Pelodiscus sinensis: one gene and its partners. The protein of the gene in region 2 purifies or fractionates together with the protein of the main gene of each other region. This does not show direct contact. Links are inferred from orthologs where the notes say so. Each region holds a gene or a part of one and is shown on either strand. Other genes may lie near its edges.

Region 1 (7,080 bases), on a different chromosome or scaffold from region 2:
ATTTATATGATCCCAAATTATAAAATAATACTTTACTAAAGATAACTAATAACTTCGCCACTATATCATTTCAGACTCTTATCTTTTTGGATCACATAAGTTACCCTACACTAACAGCAGTTAGCGAATGTTCTTATTTGTTTTCACCTTTTTTTCTTATCAACCACAAATTGTTACCAATACATTTACTGGTTTTATTTGAGTGAAAGTTGGTATGTTGCTTCTGTTCTGGCCAGCCCCAGCATACTTAAAAACTAAACATTGGTCTAAAAATGAGCTTGCCCCCAATGAAAAAGATGGGTAAAACAAGTTTTGCTAAGAACTGTCACTTGGCTTTAGTCGCTAGAATTACAGGTGTTGTCCTTCTACAGCTCATATCCTTCCCAGAGTTTATCAACTTTATTAATTGTCCTATGTGTTTAATTTATATTGCAAACTGCTTAGATCTGGAATATCATCTTTCTAGGCCTTCTGCAAAACACTTTGCATCCTTTCTAAGCTTCTAATTCTTCATTTCTAGAACTGGTACAAAATATGTTGATGTATTTCATTTTGACATCTAAAAATGCAATCAATGGTTGCTTTTGTTTATTAACACAAAGATTTGTTAGTATTTCAGAACAAAAATTCTAGCAAAATTGTTCAGTTTCTACTTCTAGGAAAGCCAGTCTTTACGTGTGCAAAAAATCTTTTGGAATGGTTCATACGGATACAATTTTTTACTTTTAAAAGATTTAATATGTAGGTTTAGAAGATTTATAAAAATGTTTCAGCAAAAACTGACAGCTGTTATGCACACACAGAGTCACACTTCACTGGCAATTTACAGCCTCTTGTTTAAATCAGGCTGTCTGGGAATTATTCTTAAACAGGGTTTACACACTGTCCCTTCTAACCTAGTAACACTACTGGATAAGCCAAAATGAATGAACCAAAATGAATGTATACTCTTTTCTGTTTTTTAAGATTGTGGATTCAAAGACTGGATTACAATACTTTTGTGTAACATTTTAAGATACTTGGCCTTTTGTTAGAAAGTGGTTTAGCTGACCTGTGTGAATCCTACAATAGCCAAAGGCTAAGCTACACCACCCTTTCTCTGCACAAATCTTTACACAATCAACTATGAATTATCTTTCAAAATTAACTCTGTATTACCTGTCATAAGGTATTTTTCAAAATTAATCATATTGAACAGCTTCCTAACTCAGATAGAAGTAATAACCTCACACACACACACAAAAAAGGTAAGTCCTGACATACATCCTTTTTATGTCAAACCTCTACTACCATGGTGTCCAACATGCTAGCCACTAGCCAGATGTGGTTATTTGGCCAGTTGAGTGTGGCTAGTTGGCTTGAAAAATGTGCCAATTTGGCCAGTTGAGTGTGGCTAAGTCATGAGAGTGGCTACTGATTCAAAACTGGTTGGACACCATGGCTATACTATATAAAAAAATACTGTTTAGTGACCTACACTTAGTTACATATTTTAATAGATACTGAACGAATATATTTATATATTTTATTCTTCTACAAAAATGTATAGACACTGGCTAACAATCTATTTACTGACTATATCTTTCAAATTTTTTTGTGAATTCAGTTGTTAACACAGAATCCTAAACAGGGAAAGTTTAAAAATAGTTTGAACATACATTTCTTTATAAGCTCATCTATACTGCAGTTATTACTGTCAGGTGACTTACTATATAGCTGATTATTTGGTCATAATACAGTCTAGTTTTTAGTATAGATCAAAACATGTTTAAGCCACGGTTATGTCAAGCCTGTATCATGATGCAAGGGCACTGACAACAAGGCTTTCCCTCTTCCACTACCTAATGAAAAAGGTCAAGGGAAGAATGGTAATGTAGAAGGCCTCTACATTCTCCATCTACCTCACCCGTTCTTCTCATCCTGTTTCAGAGGGCTGTACAGCTATACCAAATGAAGGAAAATTAATGATGTGAATACTATGTCTCATTGAAATGCACCACAAAATAGTCTTTAACATTTAACTTTGAAGGTGTCTCTTAATAAAAAAGCAAATAAATTAAAGTTTTTAAGAACTCTTCCGATTAATCTACAATATTAAAAAGTTTTCAGCCCAAGTCATTGTTCAGTTGAGGAAATTGTGAATGTCAAATCAAACCTTCTGATCAGAGGCAATCCCAATACACAGTGGACAACATACTGCCAGAATGGCCACCTCTTAGGACTTAGGGTGATACTGACAAGATCATTCTCTGCCAAGGCCAGGAGCGCTAAATGGATTTGTGGGGAGGGCTGGGCGGAACTCTCTTGGCACACAAAGGGCCCATGACAGAAGAGTTGATGGGATGAACGATCCTCGCTCTGGGCTGGATCGGGGAAGAAGCGCGGGCGTTAAATCCTTCGGATGGAGGAATTTCGGGACTGAGGCCCTTGCAACTACGCTCAACACTGGGGCGCCTGACGCTTCGGCACAGGGGAAAGCGGGCGAACCCGACAGCCGCGGGGGCGGAGGTACGGGCGATCAAACGGGGCCAACGGTCGGGGGAGCTTGGCCCAAAGCCTGGAACGGGGCGCTTGGCGCTAGAGCACCGGGAGCCCGGACAACTAGGCCGGGGGAGGGGGGACGTGAAGGAGTCAGGCCCAAGGGAGAGCGCCAGGGTGAAAGGGCACCGAGCCGGTGGGGGACGCTCGCTCGGCCCTTTAGGGAGCGGTGCGGGGAACTCAGCCCGGAACTCTGCCCTCCACCCAGCTCCCGGCCCCTCCACCCGACCGGGCCCCAAACTCCGGCCCCTACGGACCGGCCGGCGGGCCGCCCTAGCCTCCAGCGCCGGCCCGGTCCGCTCCTCCCCCCACGCCGCCCCGCACTCACAACTCGCTCTTGCCCGATTTCTCCCAGTTCTTTATCCACTCGGCAGGGAGCGCCCCCGCCGCCGCCATCTTCCCCGTGTGGCGCCGAGAGCCCGGATGAGGCGAGCGACGGGACGGGGTCAGAGGGGACGGGCCGGCCCTCCCGCCAGGCATGATGGGAAACGGGCCTAGAGCAGCCTGGGAGACGAACGTGCGCGCGCTCTCTTGCCGAACGGCTCCCGAGCCCGCGCTGCGCGCGCGGAACCGGCCACGGGCGGCTGCTGAGTTTCGGCAGCGGCGCCCGCCCGCGGCTACACAACGCCGGGCCCAGCGAGTCCCGCGCCAGCTGCCCCCAGACACTCCGGTACCTAGCTACCCCCCTCCCCCCACACTGGTAACACTTGAGCCCCCCCAATATAGGGGTGACTCCTGACCCCCCCGCCAGTCACACCATGGCCCCCGCCCCTTCTTCCAGTACATCCGCCACCTGCCCCCCCCATACAGCTGGGCCACAAGCAACCCACCCAAAATACTTCCAGCCCTTCCTGCAGTGCACCACCCGAGCCCTTGTCATTTATCTTATAAATATATCCCCGCCCCCCCCCCCCCCCCCGCCCCGGCAAGTTTCCCAAATACACTGGACGCCCAGCAATCCCCCTACAATTAACGAGACTGCTATCATCCACTCAATGAATGCACCAGGACCTTGCAACGTTTCCCAAATACGGTGGGCCTCTGCAGTCTTCCCTCAAAAACACCAGTAACCCCTGGACCTCACCAATCTACCCCAAATACATCTGGATCCCTACAATCCACCCAATGAATACTATCAACTTCCCCAAATAACACCAGACCATCAATCGCTGCCCCCCACCCCCTCCAAAAAAAACTCTAGCAGGCTGCCCATCACAATGGTAACATCTGTTCTCCACTAACTCCCCCTCCCCTATGTCTTGGGGACACTGGGTACCCAGCAACTTTACACCAAATGTGCCACAACACCAGGCCTCCACCTATCCCATATCAATAGCTCCGGGTTTGCAGGGACATTTCCCCATGTCTCTCCCTTATAGTCTCAGCCAAAATCCATGCATATGTCTGTGACTTCACATACTTGTTAAAATAAATGTATTCTGAGATATTTAGCAAAAGGGTATCAGTAAGACTTATCTAATTCTGTAGCTCTGTTATACGAATTTATAGTAGTAATATTAATTTGTAGGTTTCAGTGATAGAGTTGCAGTCAAGGACTACAAAACTTGTTTGTGTGTAAAAAGTCATTTAATCTGTTAATTGTCATACAGATAGGTTGATAGTTATATTCTAAATCTATTGAAAAGAAAGAATGGTCCCTTCATTTCAGAAATCTTAGGGCAGGTCTACAAAATTAAGTCACCTTAAGTTACTTGCTATGCTATCAGCCCCAAGTGGCAGAACTCTAGATGTCAGTTCCGGGCAGTGAGGCTCTGATAGGCAGCAAATGGTGATGTGATGTGATGTAAGCAATGCAGTGTCTACACTGATCCTGCATTGACATAAGAGCTATGCCTCTTGCAGAGGTGGAATTACTAAGGACATATCTTCATGTTAGGCTGGATCAATAGGCAGTGATCATGTAAGCAAAGGGTCAGTTTGTCATGTCTAGATAAATTGACCACCGAGCGCTCTCCCGTTGACTCTTGATACACCACCAAAACCAGAAGAGTTAAGCGGAGTCGACAGGAGAGCATCAGCTGTCAACTTACTGCTGTGAAGATACTGCAGTAACATAAGTCGATGGTCTGCAATAGTATAGACAAGGCCTAAGTTAGTGTAGCAGGCTACTTACATCAGTGAGAATAATTTGCCTTATGCCACTCTAACTGTAGTGTAGACTAAGCCTTAGTTTCACAGTTCAAACTTCAACATTTGAAGAATACAGGGTCTTTTTTTTCTTTTAAAGTATATTCAGAGTCTTTGGTCTCTGATGGGCTTGAGCCATTATCTCAGAGGAAATTCCTAAACTATTACCAGTGGAGTACTTGCTGGAGGCTCTCTTTAGCTACATCTAAACTACAAGCCTCTTTCAAAAGAGGCTTTTTCGAAAGAATCTTTCAAAAAAGCCTCTTTCAAAAGACAGCGTCTAGACAACAAGCAGATTTTTTGAAAAAGGGAGCCGCTTTTTTGAAAGAGTCTAGATGCTCTCTTTCGAAAAAGAACAGTTTGCATTCAATAGCGCCTTTTTTAGAAACGGTACTTTCGAAAAAAGGCATTATTTCTCATAAAATGAGGTTTACCACGATTGAAAAAACTGCTGGTTTTTTTCGATTTACTTTCAAAAGAACGCGGCTGCAGTCTAGATGCAGGTGAATTTTTTTTTGAAAAAAGGCTACTTTTTTTGTGTCCCTCTGAGGAACAGAATAGATTTAAGGGAGCAATGAATGAAGAGAAAAATAGGTGGTATTTTTACCTTTTTTTCAAAAAGGCCAAAACATTTATATAAAATAATTAAAAATATATCATCATTGTGCTAATATTGGCCTTCCATGTAAACAAGGTGCAGTGAGCCCCAATTTACCAGTTTTATCTTGAGCCACCATTCCTACAGACAATGCAGCACTTGTTAGCACTTAAAATAAAGCTAAGTAAGGTTTATTAAAGTAAAAATAAAGATGTAATAAGAAATAGTGGTTACATCACAAAACAAAATCATAGAAAACAAACCAGAGTCTATACTTATGGAATATAGATTGCACCTCTAAAATCCAGGATACTCTGGTCTAGCAACATCCATGTTCTGGCAGGATCACAGATATTGCTGGACCAGGGAGCCTGGTTGGCTAGAAGCAGCACGGCCAGCAGTGGGGAAGTTGAGCTCTGGCGGGGGATGGAAGCAGAATCCCCGGTGGCCAAGACGGGCTGACAGCCAAGAAAGGAGCCTTGACCTGCCCTGGTCTCGCAAACTCCAGGGTTTGGGACCCCTCAGGACCAGAGGGTGTCAGAACAGGCAGGTCCAACCTGTAGTAAAGTAAATTTCCCACCAAATTCAGCCATTGCAGAGCTGGATGCTTTTTCAATAAAGAGGACCCAAAATGTTCATAAAATCATAAAAATGTAGAGTTGGAAGGTACCTTAAGAACTCATCTAGTTCAGCCTGCCTCACTGAGTAGGACTATGCACTCCTAAACCGTCCTTGATAGATGTTTATCCAATCTGTTTTTTTAAAAATTCAGTGATGGCACTTCCACAGCATCTCTTACAAGCCTAATCCAGATCTTAACTAGAATCATAGAATACTAGAACTGGAAGGGACCTTGAGAGGTCATCGAGTCCAGTCCCCTGCCCTCACAGCAGGATCAAGCACTGCTTAGAAGATCATTCCTAATAGATGTCTACCTAACCTGCTCTTAAATATCTCTAGAAATGGAAATTCCACAACTTCCCTAGGCAATTTATTCCACTGTTTAACTACTCTGACAGGAAGTTTTTCCTAATGTCCAACCTAGATGTATGTCCCTTGCTGCAGTTTAAGCCCATTGCTTCTTGTTCTGTGATCAGAGGCCAGGAAAAACAATTTTTCTCCCTCCGTGTGACACCCTTTTAGATCCTTGAAAACCACTATCTTGTCCTCTCTCAATCTCCTCTTTTCTAAACTAAACAAGCTCAATTCCTTCAGCCTTGCCTCATAGCTCATGTTTTCTAGCCCTTTTATAATTTTTGTACCTCATCTCGGGACCTCCAATTTCTTCCCATCTTTCTTGAAATGTGGTGCCCAGAACTGGACACAGTACTCCAGCTGAGGCCTAATCAGTGCAGAGTTAGTCACCAGATAGGTGATAATACGTCTTGGAGATGATCCATTCAAATCGGAGGCAGTTGTCCTGCCGTGGATAGCCAGTGAAGTAAAATAATTAGTTGTCTAGCCTTGCTCCATCACCACTTTAAGTGAAAAACTATCAGAGACAAATGCAGTTAATCAAAAACAATTAGGTGTAAAAAAGATACATTATAACAAAGAGAAAAAGCCGGTTATGAATAAGGAAAAAAGACAATTTCAGTAAAATACAGGGTGGGGAAAGACACACGCTATACTTTTTCTGGAATCACATCCTCAGCAACCAGAGGTGCCTTCATGAAAAATTGGGTTTTGATTCCTGTTATGCCAGTCAGCTCTGCAACAGACTGAACCTTCTTTTTTGTGCTTTGTATTGTGCTGTAATAATTTGTTTCCATCAGTCTCTGTTGTTTCTAGTAGAT
Region 2 (7,050 bases):
TAGGAAAAAATTCCTAACTGTCAGGGTGGTCAAATATTGGAATAAATTGCCAAGGGAGGTGGTGGAATCTCCCTCTCTGGAGATATTTAAGAACAGGTTAGATAGACATCTGTCAGGGATGGTGTAGACGGAGCTTGATCCTGCCTTGAGGGCGGGGAGCTGGACTCGATGACCTCTCGAGGTCCCTTCCAGTCCTATTATTCTATGATTCTATGATTCTATGGACAGTAATTGGCAGGTGCTACACACCCTGAGAAATATACTCGCATATTGTGTGCAACTGAGCAATAAATTACAAACATTGCAAACATACACACCTCAGCAGCAATACAAAGTGACTGTAGACGAAAGAAATGTTGCTTTTCGAGTACCTGAGAGATCAGGGAGAAGGGAAAACAAAATATTGGTTTTCATCTCCTAGTCTTGATTTCCTTAGTATGACTAATAGCAAGAAACTTTATTGCAATACCAAACCATGTCATAACATGATAAGGGCAGAACAATGTAACAGCTGCACTCTCTAACATAGTTGTAATCATCATGTAGAAAATGCCGTAGCTACAACTCAAGAGTGCTCTGATCAGAACACATTTGGATCTTTTTCAACAGCTTTCAAGTCCCTATAAGGTTGTTACAAGGAGGAGAGAGAAAAATTGTTTTCCTTAACCTCTGATGATAGGACAAGAAGCAATGGGCTTAAATTGCAGCAAGGGAGGTTTCGGTTGTATGTTAGGAAAAATTTATTAATTGTCAGGCTGGTTGAGCTCTGGAATAAGTTGTCTAGGAGGTTGTGGAATCTCCATTATTGAAAAATGTTAAGACCATATTAGACAAGCACTTGTCAGATGGTCTAGCTCCTGGGTGGGAAATAATTTTTGATGGGGGGCACTCCAAGATTTTGGTATATGGTCAAGGGTCTATGGAGGGGTTGTGGGGTCTGGGATGGAGGTTAGATGCAGAGGGAGCTTGGGATTGGGGTGCAGGAGAGGGTGTGGGGTCTGAGAGGCAGTTAGGGTGAAGCTAAGGGTTGTGATCTGGAGCAAGGGGTTGGGTGCAAAGTTCAGGAGGGGATATAGGTGAGAGAGGATTCTGGCCTGGGATAAGGGTGTAAGGGGTGTGCAGGGTCTGACAGTTGTGACTGGGGGCACGTGTGTGTGTGTACGCAGAGTGTTTTGGTTGTGATCTGGAGCAGGAGGTGGTGGTGACCTGGGGCAGAGAGTTGGGATGCAGAAAGGACTGGGATGCCAGAGATAGGCTCTTGATGAGAGGTACTTACCTAGGCAGCTCTCAGCCAGCATCCCAGAAGGACCTTCAGGCAGGTTCCCTGCCTGCTGCAGCCCCAGGGTTCAGAGCAGCTGGCTGCTTCATCTGCTTCCATGCACCAGAAAGGGAGGGGGGAAGCTTCATGCACTGCCCCTGCCCCCAGCATAATCTTTCAGCTCCCATGGGCCAGAACCAGCCAATGGGAGCCAAGAGATAGTACTGAGCGCTTGGGTAACCAATTAGAACCGACCAATGGGAAGTGAAAGATTGTGCTGGGGCAGGGGGAGCACACAAAGAATCCTCCTCCTTCCTCTCCTCACTGATGCAGAGAGGCAAATGGAGCAGCCAGACACTCAGAGCCTTGGCTGCCCTGTCCCATACACTGATGTTAGACTAGGACTGAATCCTGCTTAATGGAACACAGGTTCAACACCTGCACCATCTCTATCACCATGTATTAACCCAGTCAAATAAAATAGCTGGAACAACTAGGCTACGTCTACACTGGCCCCAAATTCCGGAAAAGGGATGCAAATCAGGTAAGTCAGGATAGGGAAATCCGCGGGAGATTTAAATATCCCCCGCGGATTTAAATAAACATGTCCGATGCTTTTTTTCCGGCTTGGGGAAAAGCCGGAAAAAAAGCATCTAGACTGGCGCGATCCTCCGGAATAAAGCCCTTTTCCGGAGGATCTCTTATTCCTACCTGAGAAGGTAGGTTGGAGGGGTTTTTCTTTCTCACTTGTGTGGTTCCCAACTTATTTTTGTGTGTGTCAGTGGCCCCTACCCTAAAAAAGACTCCCCACCCCTTCCATAAATAAAGACAATGTTGAAACTTTTTTGTGTTGGACATAATATTTTACTTAATTTAAAATGAAGCCTGGCCAATAACGCTCCAATTGGGACCCAGCCCCCATCTGGCTGCAGCTTTCTGTCCCCGGCCTCCATCTTGGGACAGGCCTCGACTGGCCTCAGAAAGGGCTGGTGGCAGCTCTCCCCCCCCCCCCCCCCCCACTTCAGGATGGGTAAGAAGAGAGACCACAATCCAGCTGGGGGTTGGCAAGCATACCAAGATCTGAAGCCCTCTTAGTGGTAATATTAAATTAAGATTATCTGCATGAGGAGATGACCATACTGCCATACTGTGACTGAGTCCCTGGACACTGTAGCGTTTTAGGGGTTTTTTAGTTTTTTTCAGAGGGCCCACAGGGTCTTCCCAGGGAATTTATTATTTCCCCAAGAATATACACATGGATTTATACCAATGCTTCAGATTGCGCAAATAAACCCACTATTAGCCTTTTGAGGACGACGCTAAAGTTTAGGTCAACAGAGCCATAGCGCTAAAAAATTGACACTCATGAGCACTGCAGCTCTGCCAACCTACACCTCTGTGGTCCCCTGGTGCTGTGATATCACAACATGACCTGGTGCTCTCCATAGGGTTGCCATACTTGAACTTTCAAAAAAAGAGAACACTTCTGAGAGGGAGGCTACGTCTAGATTGCATCCCTTTTTCGTAAAAGGGATGCAAATTCGACATATCGCAATTACTAATGAAGCGGGGATTTAAATCTCCCCTGCTTCATTAGCATAAAAATGGCTGCCGCTTTTTTTCGGCACGGAGCTTTGCCGGAAAAAAGCGCCAGTCTAGACGCAGGTCTTTCGGAAAATAAAGCCTTTTCCGAAAGATCCCTTATCCCTCTTAAAATAAGGGATAAAGGATCTTTCGGAAAAGGCTTTATTTTCCGAAAGATCTGCGTCTAGACTGGTGCTTTTTTCCAGCAAAGTTCCGTGCCGAAGAAAAGGGGCAGCCATTTTTATGCTAATGAAGCAGGTGAGATTTAAATCCCCGCTTCATTAGCAATTGCGATACATCTAATTTGCATCCCTTTTACGGAAAAGGGATGCAATCTAGACGTAGCCGGAGTGTATCTGGATCAGTATCTACCAACTCACATATTAATGTGTTATATAGTACAGTGTTTCTCAGCCAGTGGTTGAGAGAACTCTGGAGGGTACATCAACACAACTAAAATTGGAGAAAACTGAATTTTTGTTTTAAGTTTTACAGCGTTTTATTATTTTTGTACTTTTTACACGCCAAAATTTCATCACCCACCTGGCTACTATTAAGTTGTTTAAACAAATGTGTTGCAAAATGGTAGAAAAAAATGTGTGTGTCTGAAAACTATAGGTACTGGGGGTACTTAAAATTTATTTATTTATGTTTTTGGAAAAGGGGTACTTTATAAAAAAAAAAAGGTTGAGAAACACCGATACAGTGTACAACGTGAGTTGGTAGATACTGATACAGATACACTCCCTCTCAAGAGTGCCGCCTTTTGGAAAGTTGGAATATGGTAACCCTATCTCTCGTGAAATGTGCACAATGCTGCCATGACACAATGTTGTGATGCCCTTGTGAGCTGCACTGTATTGTGCTCCCCCTCCCCCCAGGGCTGCAGGTGACCTGCCCGGAGGAATTGTGGGGCGGGAGGGCTGCTCAGGCTCAAGGCTGTAGGATTTTCGACTGTAGGCAGAACCAGACTCCACACAGGCAACTGGCCGCTCTAGCCTCTCCTCTGTACTCTATGCCACTGGAGGACCGAGCTGGTCGCGCTCCCTCCCTGTCTCTATGGCATGAAGAGCGCTCTTGCCGCCGTCTCTATGGTCGTGGCGGCGGCGGCGCGCTGTCCGCCAGCCCGCGTCTCTGTGGTAACGCAGGCCGGCTGGGAGGCGCGGCGCTCCGTCCATCCGGCGGGCCCCTCTCTCTGGTCGCGGCCTGAGGGCGTGTGGGCCGGCTTGGCGGAGCGATGGCGGCCGTGCGGGGCCTGCGGATCTCGGTGAAGGCGGAGGCGGAGGCGGAGCAGCCCCGCGGCCCCGAGCCCGAGCCCATGGAGGTGGAGGAGGGCGAGCTGGAGACCGTCCCCGTGCGGCGCTCGCTGCGGGAGCTCGTCCCGGTGCGGGGACAATGGGGGAGGGGGCCGGGCGCGGGAAGCGGGCGGGGGGGGGGGGTCGGTGCGAGAGGCGGGGCAGGCAGCCCGGGACCGAGGTACTAAAGGGGAAGCCACAGCGACCCCTCAGTCTGAGGCTGAGCGGGGGGGGGGGAGCCCCGGGTTTTCTTCCAGGGGGGACGCTGAGTCTCAGCGCTAAGGGAAACGGTCACTGGGGCGGGGGGGTGACACTGGGTTATCGCCTGGCAGAGACTGGACCCGCTTTGCTGCGGGCTTGTGAACTCCCCAGCGCTAACTGATGACAGCGGAAACCCTGTTTTATTCCCCCCCCCCCCCCCTTCGCCCTGCACGTCGCTCTTGTGACATTAATCGGGCGATTTCACGAAACAAAGGCAGGGCTATTTGGGGAAATGGGACTAGACTCAAAGGTGCGAAGAGGCTTACAAGTGACTTTCTGTTTAATACAAAAGTGCAGATGAATGGTCTCTTGTTCTAAAGGGGACTTGATAAGAGCCTGGTACATTGTCATTTTTAGAGTCTGGTATCTTAAAATAATTTGGTGATAAAAGATTTTTTTCAATTGGAAGACATGGAAGTTAGGCTCATTCTGCATTGGCACAGTATAGACTTTCTGTCTGGGGTGTGAAAAAACACACCTCTCTCACAAGTGTAGCAAGTCTGCAGTGCTGGGGGTCAATGAAGAAACTCTTCCATTGACTTTCCTTACTTTTCTCGTCCACATTAGAGTAGAGAAGTCGATGGCAGACTGCAGTCTATTTGACAGGTCTAAACTGTACACACTAAATCAATGGCTTGTGGATTGATTTCAGGGGGTCAGTATTATAGACAAAGGCTTAGTCAGTGTTGTACACATCTTGGTCAAGAAGATAATGGAGCTTAGATCTTGTCTATACTGTTACTTTACTGCACTTTAACTTTCTTAGGCAGGGATGTGAAAAAACACCCCCAAGCGCAGCCATTAACAGCGCTGTAAAGTGCCATTATAAACAGACTCCCAGTGCAGGGAGCCATGCTCTCCACATTCTGTTAACCACCTCTATGAGGGGAATAGCTTACTTACAGTGGTAGGAGAGCTCTCCCATTGATGGTGCTGTAACCCCATTGCCACAGCTTCACTTTAAACTTACAAGTGCAGACAAAGCCTCTGAGTTCAGAGAAAGTAGAAAGAAATGGTTTTATTTTAGAACTGTTTGCCAGATGAGATTTTATCAGTCTAACTGATTTATTGTATTTTGCCATCATCACAATTCTGCTTTGTTTCAGGACACTAGTAGAAGGTATGAAAACAAAGCTGGAAGTTTCATCACAGGAATAGATGTCACCTCCAAGGTATTATTGTGTTGTGGGTTTTCTTCAGTACTGTTGTCTGATGGGAAGCACTGTTAGTCTTCAGGAATTTCGGAGAAATGGTCATTTTTAGATTCACTTAGACCAGTGATTAGCTTTTTAATGTGTCTTCTGCAGCAGTTCTCTCTCTCTCTCTCTCTCTCTCTCTCTCTCTCTCTCTCTCTCTCTCTCTCTCTCTCTCTCTCTATATATATATATATATATATATATATATATATATATATATAAAATTCCTGTGGGATTGGTCCTGCCTTAGGCAGGGGGCTGGACTTGATGACCTCCTGAGGTCTCTTCCAGCTCTATGATTCTGTGAGTTTATGACAAACTGATGTCATCACATCACAGCTTCCACAGGGTGAGTAGGCACACTCCACCCCTTCCACTCTGGGCCCCATCTCTGGTGTCAAGCTCCACCCACCGCCAGCCCAGCTCTCTCCAGTGGCCACATGGAGAGTTGGCCTGGCGTGCTGCAGCCTGGCCTTTCCTGGACTCCAGGGACTGGTGTGGGCCTGACCTGGCACGCCATGGCCTGGCCTTCACCTGGGATCAAGAGCAGGTCTGGGACTGGGCTGTCACACTGCAGCCCAGCCTTTGCAGAGGGCACTACGGCCCAGCCTTCCCTGGGGGCTGAGGGTATGGCTAAGTCTAGCCTGGTGCGCCACTGGCCAGCCTTTGCCAGGGGCCATGGGCAGGTCTGGGCCTGGCGCAGCTGGCACAACCGAGGGTGGGGGAGAGAAAGGGCCCGAGGTTGGCATGGCAGTGGGGAACAGAGGAGGGGCCCAGCCCGGCATGGCTGCACCCCAGCCCTCCCCAGTAGCTGGGGAAAAAGCCAGGATTGCCTACTCGCTGCAAGAGGGAGGTTGGCTAGTGTAGCTAGCAGTGGATGCAGCCCCCTAGTGTTATTAAAGCACTGTGATTTAATTATTAACCCACCAGAATGCTTTTACTTTGTTATTAACCAATTGTAGTTGATAAATCAATACTTGATTAATCATTTTGCTGTGAGAAACATATATAAAATGAAACAATGTCACACTACTGTGGCTCTTTTGGGCAATGTTGTTTGCTAATTTGGCTCCTAAACCACTGAAGTCTGATTATTACTGACTTCACACACTCTTCTATAATTGTAGACATATAATCCCTGACACACAATATTCTTGTTTTGGTGGTGGGTTGGTAACATTTTTTCTTACGCTGTGATGTCTGTCTTTTGTAAGTTATGAGAAGCCCCAATTTGCAAGTCATAAAATCTACAAAAATAAATAAGCTTTATGAAAATGCTGAGCCAAACACTTCTGTGATTTTACATTGAAAGATTTATTTGTAGACAAAGTTCTTATACTTGCCAAGAATTTGTAATACCGTTTCTAAAAGCTCAGTGCATTTGCCAAAAAAACAAGGAAACTCTGTTGGAATTGCAGTGATATCACTCCATAGTGCAAAGCCTGTGTGAGGTCAG
Region 3 (7,464 bases), on a different chromosome or scaffold from region 2:
CGAGGAATCGGACCCTCCCTAAGCCCCCTTGAGTACTCACTTAAACTCCAGGCATTTGGTGATCTCCTTCTGCAGATGCATCACCTCGTAGAGTAGGTTCTGGAGCTGCAGGTGATAGGCGTCTACCTTCTGCTTTGCCTGAAAGAACGTCAGCGGGGAGCATGAAAACCTCAGTGCAGATGAAGCCAAAAAGAAGAGCAACCAGGGATGGGAAATCCCAGTTAAAAGTCCACCAGTTCAATGGAACGTTTAACCGGCTAATCATGATCCCATGCAATGCGCAGGGGCTGCTGTGACGGGCCGGTCGCCCCGGGAAGCATGCCGGCAACACCACACCCCTCAGAGCAGATGGCAAGAGATCAAGGCTGCCAGCCAGAGAAGGCAGATTTTCGGGAATGGTGAAACCCAGGAGATTCAGGGACACTGGCTGGCACCCCACCCCCAGCCTGTGCACAATGGCCTTGTGGGGCGACCAGGAGGTGCCAGGTGAGAATCGAATCAAACTGGTGCCGCGTTTTCATTCATTGTGGCTATTACAGTGTCGGCAGCCGAGTTTCCCAGGAAGCCTCTGCTCCATAGACCTGTGGCTGGAACCCTGTGTGGACTCGGGTAGGCCCCTCCCAGCCAGGGGGCGGTCCTTTCAATCGCTGGCCTCACGGTACCTCATGGGTCTGATCTCGCCCCTTCTTCAGCCGAATATGAGCCAGACGGTTGAGTTTCTTCAGGGTCATGAAGTACATGCAGCTCTGGATCCGCCGCTCTTCGATGGCAGCTGCCTGAGAGGGGAGGAGGCAGCAGGTAAAGGAGCTGGGTCGCTGGCCACACAGACATGTATTCCCCCCCCCCCCCCACACACACACCCACTCTTCCTTAGCCCGGGAATCACCAAATCCCTCCTGGGCTCATTCTGGCTCCGGGGCCAGGTTCATGACATCCTTCTCTCGGGTTTAACCCTTTCAGCGACCAGAGCAGCCTGGCTATTATCAGGTGGCTCAACCCTGCGCTGGAGGCACAGAGTTTAGTCAATGGTGCACCCTCGTTTCCATCCTCTTAGGAGCAGTGATAGCTGCTAGCCCAATAGCCCGCGCTGAAGCTCTCCTTCCTGCTACAGAAAAGGCCCAGCGTGGGCAGCGGTGCCGCCAGCTTTCTGCAACAGAAAGCCTCCTGGGATGAGGCATACCTGGGAGGTCGACAAATGCCTTTGATGTCAACCCCCGCGCGTCCAGACTACCGCGCTGAGCCGACAAACAGCTGATCGACTCAGCACGGCAGCCATGTAAATTTAAATGAAGCGGCGATTATTTAAATTGCTGCTTCATTTTCCTATGCCTGGTAGTCTAATCTACATGCCTCTGTCGCCAGAGGCATGTAGTCTAGACGTACCCTAAGTCTCAGCGCTGATCTGACACGGCTGCCCCACGGCGGCAAGAGGGGAGTTCAAGCTCCATGCTCTTCGCTCATTACAGTCCACTTGCTATGGGAACACCTGCCGAACTAGACCCTGACTCGCTTCTCGCAGGCCCCCAAGCAAGCGCCAGGCAGGGGTAACCAATAACCTAGGCTGGATTCGCTCTCTGGGAGAAGGTCTCCTGTCCCCGCACCGCTCTCCTGAGCTATTCAGTCCTTACGTTTCATTGCTATTGCTGGGACCATTACAAACCCCTTCCCCGTTTGAGGACGCCATGTGGCTTTCAAACCCACTGCTTTCGCGCAGCAGCAGAAAGTGTTTGAAAGGGCTCGGGAGAAAAGCTCCTTCTTACGCTGTCTTTGCTGCCTTTGCTCTTCAGATCCTGGATTTCTGCCATGAGCCTCTGAAGCTCCTGGCAGGTTTGCTTGTACAGTTCATAGTCTTTGCTGGGATCTCGGAGTTCCACCTCCGCCTCCTCACTGTAATACTTCACATCCTGCAAAGAGCAGAAATACAGAGCGGCACTTAACACTGCAACAAACCCCCTGCTCGCCTCACTCCACCAGGGGCCTGCTTGTCTAGTGGGTTCACAGTAGCACTACAGTGTCCCCAGAGACCAGCATCAGGTCCCATCCCATATTGGTACTAGGCTGACAAGCAGGAGAGGAAAAAGAGCAGCGAGCAAAGTTCTTTCAATGAGCAGACAAGATGAAAGACAGGCTCCACCTACGCCCATTGCCCCTCAAGCTTTTCAGGGCTTCTAAAAACACCCCGAGAGCTTTGGGGGGCCAGTGCAAACTTGCAACAGTGATAAAATCACTCAGAGAGCATAAGATGCAACTCTGGTTCCCAGGGTCATAACCCTTCTTTGCTCGGGATGCTGGGGATCGGGCCTGGCATCTGGCTCACTGAAGCCAATGGTAATAACCTCATTGACTTGAGTACGAGCAGCGGAAAGCTAATCCCGGGTGCTTTTGAGATGCTCGCCCTTACAACAGAGCGGACGAACAGGGTGATGCTTTTGTGATGTCAAGAGCTTTCCGAACAAAGCACTGACGGCTTCGCCTCTGCACTCCTGCCAGCCCGACAGCATCTGATCCGCCGCAGGATTGCCACAGGCTGACAATCATTAGCCCACCTGATCAGGGTCCACCCTGCCCCGCTTGCTCTCCTGGGGGGCCCCGTCAGTGCGGATGACCTTGGGTTTCCTCTTCTTGCTCGAATCAGACGACATTCTTATTTCACGGGCTCTGGGACGGGAGAGCAGAAATAGCTGGTCTCCAAACGGGAGCCCCTCGAAGCCTCTGCAACAAATGGGAGCGACTGTCAGAGACCCCGTGCTGCCGTGGGAGGGGGCGACTCTGCCCTGCTTCCCCTCGGCACTGCGCCTCCTGCGCCGATCGATCGTCTCCCCTCCTCAAACCAACGTCACCCCCAGCGCAGAGGCTAGGAGGGGTCCCCTCCCGCGGTCCCCCCGCATCCCGGCCTCCCCGGCTCGGCCCCGAACCTCCCCCGCGCCCGGGAGAGGCCCCGGGACTCTGCCCTGCTCCCCACCAGGCCCGGCCCAGGGGCTCCCTGCCTCCCGGGGGCCTTGTCCCCGCAGCCTCCCCGGCCCCCCCCCCCGCCAACCCTCCTGCCCCGGCCCCCCCGCAGCCTCCCCTCCCCCCCCCGCCCCGGCCCCCCCCCGCAGCCTCCCCTCCCCCCCCCCGCCCCGGCCCCCCCCGCAGCCTCCCCGGCCCCCCCCACCAACCCTCCCTGCCCCGGCCCCCCCCCGCAACCTCCCCGGCCCCCCCCACCAACCCTCCCTGCCCCGGCCCCCCCCCCGCAACCTCCCCGGCCCCCCCCCGCCAACCGCCCTGCCCCGGCCCCCCCCGCAGCCTCCCCGGCCCCCCCCGCCAACCCCCCTGCCCCGGCCCCCCCCGCAGCCTCCCCGGCCCCCCCCCGCCAACCGCCCTCCCCCGGCCCCCCCCGCCCCGGCCCCCCCCGCAGCCTCCCCCGCCCCCCCCGCAACCTCCCCGGCCCCGGCCCCCCCCGCCAACCCCCGGCCCCCCCCGCAACCCGCCAAACGCCCCGGCAGCCCCAGGCCCCCCGCGCTCACCGGCCCGCCAGGCGCAGCGGAAATCCGGCGGCGGAGGAGACGAGCGCGGCCCGCGGGGCTAGAGCGTCCGGCGCCCAGCGCGCCCCCTGCCGGCCCGCCGCGGAGCTGCGAGGGGCGGGGCCGCAGGTCCCTCCACGCACCGGACACGCCCCCTACGCCTGGGGGCGGGGCCCGGGGCCGCTGTAGCCCTCCTCAGGGTGGTGTGGGCGGGGCCAGGCACTGCTGCACGTGGCGTTCCCAGCCGTGGCGGGAAGGGTGTCCCTTGTGGGGCTGACGCCACCCCCCTCAGGACAAGGAACCCCCCAGCTCCTGGAGGGAGCTACGGCGCTGGGACCCCCGACCCGGGCGCAGCGCTCAGCCCTGCCGGGGACTCGGCAAGGGCCCCCAGCCGTGCGCCCTGCGCCTGCCTACTCCTGGTCTAGCACGTGGACGGGTCTAAAATCAAACACGGGCCTGTGCAAGCCCCCCCCCGCTGCACGCAACAAGGACACTCAGGGTGCGTCTGCACAGCGCCCTGACCGCGAAATAAGCTCCCCAAATTGTGTGGCTGATTTGGAGGTTATTTCGAAATAGCCTGTGGCCAGAACGAGCACCGCGGAGGCCAGTATCTCTAATCGAGGCACATGGCGCTGGCCGGCAGGTCTAACGGACCTGGGGTGCGTAAGCAGTAGGACACCGTGCACGGCCTTCGCGCCGACATCTCGGTAGCTGCCTAGTCCTGGGGCCCAGGCTTCCGAAAGAACGTGGACACGTTGCAGAGGTGTCAGGCGAGAGCGAGAAGGAGGATCCGAGGTCAGGAGAGCCACCTCCCAATGGGAGATTAGAGACGCGCAGTCTGTGCGGCTTAGCCGAGAGAAGGTGAAGAGGGCAAGGTCTAGAACACCCTACTTGGGAAAGAGATTACTAAGTCGGGCAGCTTTAGGGTCTAGCAGACAAAGGCTCCGAGCAATCCAACGGCTGGAAGCCAAGGCTGAACAAACGAAAAGAAGAAACAAGGCACAGATTTTGTTTACTGTGCGGGTAATTAACCATTGGCACATTCTGTAGCCATGGAGCTAAAATGGAGCTTTATGCAAAGTCCTGGGCCTCGGTGTACTTTGCCAGCCACCCTCTCGAATGCAGAAAGGACCTTGACCTTACCGTTGGTAAAGGTGCACCAGCCAGAGCACTGTGTCCAGAGCTGGTTCCACCGCAGGAATAGAACCTGATGGACACGGTTCTGTTTTAGGCTTACAACAAACACCCTTCTTCAAATTGCAATGTAACGTCCTTGTTTGAATGTGCACACTGCTTCTCTACCAGAAACGCTGCTTCTCTGAACAACAATCAACCCTCTTTTCTAAAACTGAACAATGTGCACGTTAACAATGCACAGAAAAGCCAAATGCTCTGGAAAAAGCCAAACACAAATGGAAAAGCGCCAAAAATTGCTCCAGATCCCCTTCAAAATACAAGCAGCGAGCAAATCAACAGCTTGGAAAAAAACAAGCCCCTATCAATTAAAACAAAATATTTATAATCAAAACCAGCTAAAACAAAAAACCTCCCAAACCAACTACAAAAAACCAACTACAAATAACAAACACCCGTCAAAAAGCCCCAACAATTGAACAATGCAAAACCCACTAATCCCAATTCAAAAAAACAATGATAACAAAACCGTTCTGCTTGAAAAGGAAATCCGTCCTGCCATAACTAAAGCACTGATCCAAACCGATACAACCCTGCTCCTCCCATAATCAATCCACAAGCCATAAAGTAGTACACAGAACATAAAATAATAAAAGAACGTGTACACGGGGTGTGTCTGTCTATAACCCTTGTATGAGCATCTGCTAACCGCCGTGCCACTGCGTTCTCAATCAATGCGGCGCTTGGCCTTTTCTTCCGATACAAACCCTTTGTGCTTCTTATAAGCTAACAGCTTTACCACCTCTGACACCAGGGGTGGGCAATAATTTTTGCAGGGGGGCCAATCAATGAATGTGGTTTGCGGGCTGGCTCCACCCTCTGGAAGGGGCGGGGCCTGGGGTGCAAGGGGCGGGGCTGGGGACTAGCCTTCCCCCAGAGTTGTCCGGGGCCAGAGGCTTTGAATTCAACACACAGCAAAGGGCTTGTGGCTCCCGGCCGTGCCGCTATCGCGTTGCCTGGCAGCCGCCTCAGGTTGCTGCGGCTATTTAAAGGGCTCGCGGCTCCGGCCCCTTCCAGGGTAGCGCCGCGACTGGGAGCAGTGAGCCAGATCCAGCCATCTGAGCCACCGCTGGGAAATTCGGTGGCCTGGGCAGCCGGATCTAAATGGAAGGCGGCCATATGCCATCTGTGGGCCGGATCAAAGTGTTAGGCGGGCCGGATCCGGCCTCTGGGCCGCGTCTTGCCCAGCCCTGGCCTAAGGCCTTCGCCTGCAGCCAGATTGAAAGAGCGGCCACCACTAGCTGAGAGGCAGGAAACCACACCCTCATATCCCTGGAAACTGCATCCCAGGAGTGTCCCAGAGGCGGGCCCTGCTCCAGTGCCGCCAGTAGCACCAGGTGCAGACCCAGCTCTCAAGGTGACATTTCATCTGGCAAGAAACTCCTTGACAGGAGAGTGGGGAGCAAGACACGGGAAGCCGTTCTCCCGCTCGGCTCTGCGCTGATCAGGCCCCGCTGGAGTGCTGGGCCCCACATTTCAGAGCGAGGTGGAGAACTTGGAGAGGGTCCAGAGAAGGAGCTCCGAGGGCAGCCTGAAAGAACTGGGCTGGTTTCGTTTGGAAGGAGCAGACTGAGCGGGGCATGAGAGCGCTTTTCAAGTATCTCAAAGGGTGTCACGAGGAGGGGGAAATGGTGCTTGGCCTCTGAGGACAGGACAGGGAGCAAGGGGCTGAAGCTGCAGCGAGGGAGGTTGAGGTTGGACTTTCGGGAAAACGGCCAAGCACTGGGATACGTTGCCGAGGGAGGCTGCAGATACTGAAGGGCAGGCTGTCAGGGATGGGCTACACTGCCGGGAAGGCAGCGGACGGGACTCGATGCCTCTCGAATTCCCTTCCCGTTCTAGTGCGCTATGGCCCTTTGACACGAACCACGGGGAATCCTGGGGCCGCACAGACAGCGTGGAAGGTGCCCCCGCCCTGCTCCTTGTGGTTGCAGATACAGACTCCCCCGGGCAGCCCTCGGACGTCTCGGAGGTTGTGAACTCCTCGGTCGGATTCTCTCGCTGGGGTTCCCGTGTCCGATCTCTGCCTGTGTCCCCCAGAGGGCTCGAGTCTGACCGGCCCTCAAGCAAAGCGCGTGTCTCCCTAGAAGTGCGGCCCAGCTGACTAGCAGACACCCACAGCGAGGGGGCTTCCTACTGGTGGTGCACATTCCGGCGTGCATCAGTGCACATCACATTTATTCCACACATGCATGGGAACAATCTGCCCATGGCTGGGATCGATCGGAGGGCCCATTACCACAGAGCCGCAGAGAGAGGCTACGTCTGAGCCCTGGGAATGGCAGAGAATTGGATGCGGTACCAAGGGCCCTGCGCACCTCCGGCATCTCTTCCCCAGCCCGGCGCCCCTCCCGCACCTGGACCCCTCATGTCTGGCTGCACCCAGAGCCTTTCGCTGCTCCCCAAGGCCTAGTTTCTGGGCCCCCCCATCAGAGCCTTCCCTCCCCCTCCGCCCAACCCTTTGCCCCAGCGAGTGAGGGTGGGGGAGTGGAGCAGGGTCACTGGACACAGGGGTGTGGCAGTGACCTTACAGAGGGCGGGGGGCGGGACCACTGGACACGGGTGCAGCAGTGACCTCACAGGGGACAGGGTGGGATCACTGGACACAGGGGGGCAGTGACCTCACAGAGGGCGGGGCGGGGCGGAGTCACTGGACACAGGGGGGCAGTGACCTCACAGAGGGCAGGGCGGGGTCACTGGACACAGGGGGGCAGTGACCTCACAGAGGGCAGGGCGGGGTCACTGGACACAGGGGTGCGGCAGTGAC

What was found. The genes of interacting proteins can lie anywhere in the genome.
Region 1: the proteins of NCBP3 (region 2) and THOC2 purify together in Homo sapiens (co-immunoprecipitation; 3 studies listed by BioGRID and IntAct, with this or other methods). This does not show direct contact. The link is inferred for Pelodiscus sinensis from reciprocal best matches to the Homo sapiens genes NCBP3 and THOC2.
Region 3: the proteins of NCBP3 (region 2) and THOC5 purify together in Homo sapiens (co-immunoprecipitation; 3 studies listed by BioGRID and IntAct, with this or other methods). This does not show direct contact. The link is inferred for Pelodiscus sinensis from reciprocal best matches to the Homo sapiens genes NCBP3 and THOC5.

The regions. Positions count from the first base shown.
Region 1 is NC_134723.1:32,406,099-32,413,178, reverse strand, and holds the start of THOC2 (THO complex subunit 2), read right to left. Parts: upstream 3,018-7,080; 5' UTR 2,935-3,017; coding exon 2,867-2,934; intron 1-2,866. UniProt on the Homo sapiens protein: Component of the THO subcomplex of the TREX complex which is thought to couple mRNA transcription, processing and nuclear export, and which specifically associates with spliced mRNA and not with unspliced pre-mRNA.
Region 2 is NC_134731.1:14,838,690-14,845,739, forward strand, and holds the start of NCBP3 (nuclear cap-binding protein subunit 3), read left to right. Parts: upstream 1-3,947; 5' UTR 3,948-4,079; coding exon 4,080-4,226; intron 4,227-5,504; coding exon 5,505-5,570; intron 5,571-7,050. UniProt on the Homo sapiens protein: Associates with NCBP1/CBP80 to form an alternative cap-binding complex (CBC) which plays a key role in mRNA export. NCBP3 serves as adapter protein linking the capped RNAs (m7GpppG-capped RNA) to NCBP1/CBP80.
Region 3 is NC_134725.1:5,322,075-5,329,538, reverse strand, and holds the start of THOC5 (THO complex subunit 5), read right to left. Parts: upstream 3,018-7,464; 5' UTR 2,643-3,017; coding exon 2,547-2,642; intron 1,905-2,546; coding exon 1,761-1,904; intron 777-1,760; coding exon 663-776; intron 139-662; coding exon 41-138; intron 1-40. UniProt on the Homo sapiens protein: Component of the THO subcomplex of the TREX complex which is thought to couple mRNA transcription, processing and nuclear export, and which specifically associates with spliced mRNA and not with unspliced pre-mRNA.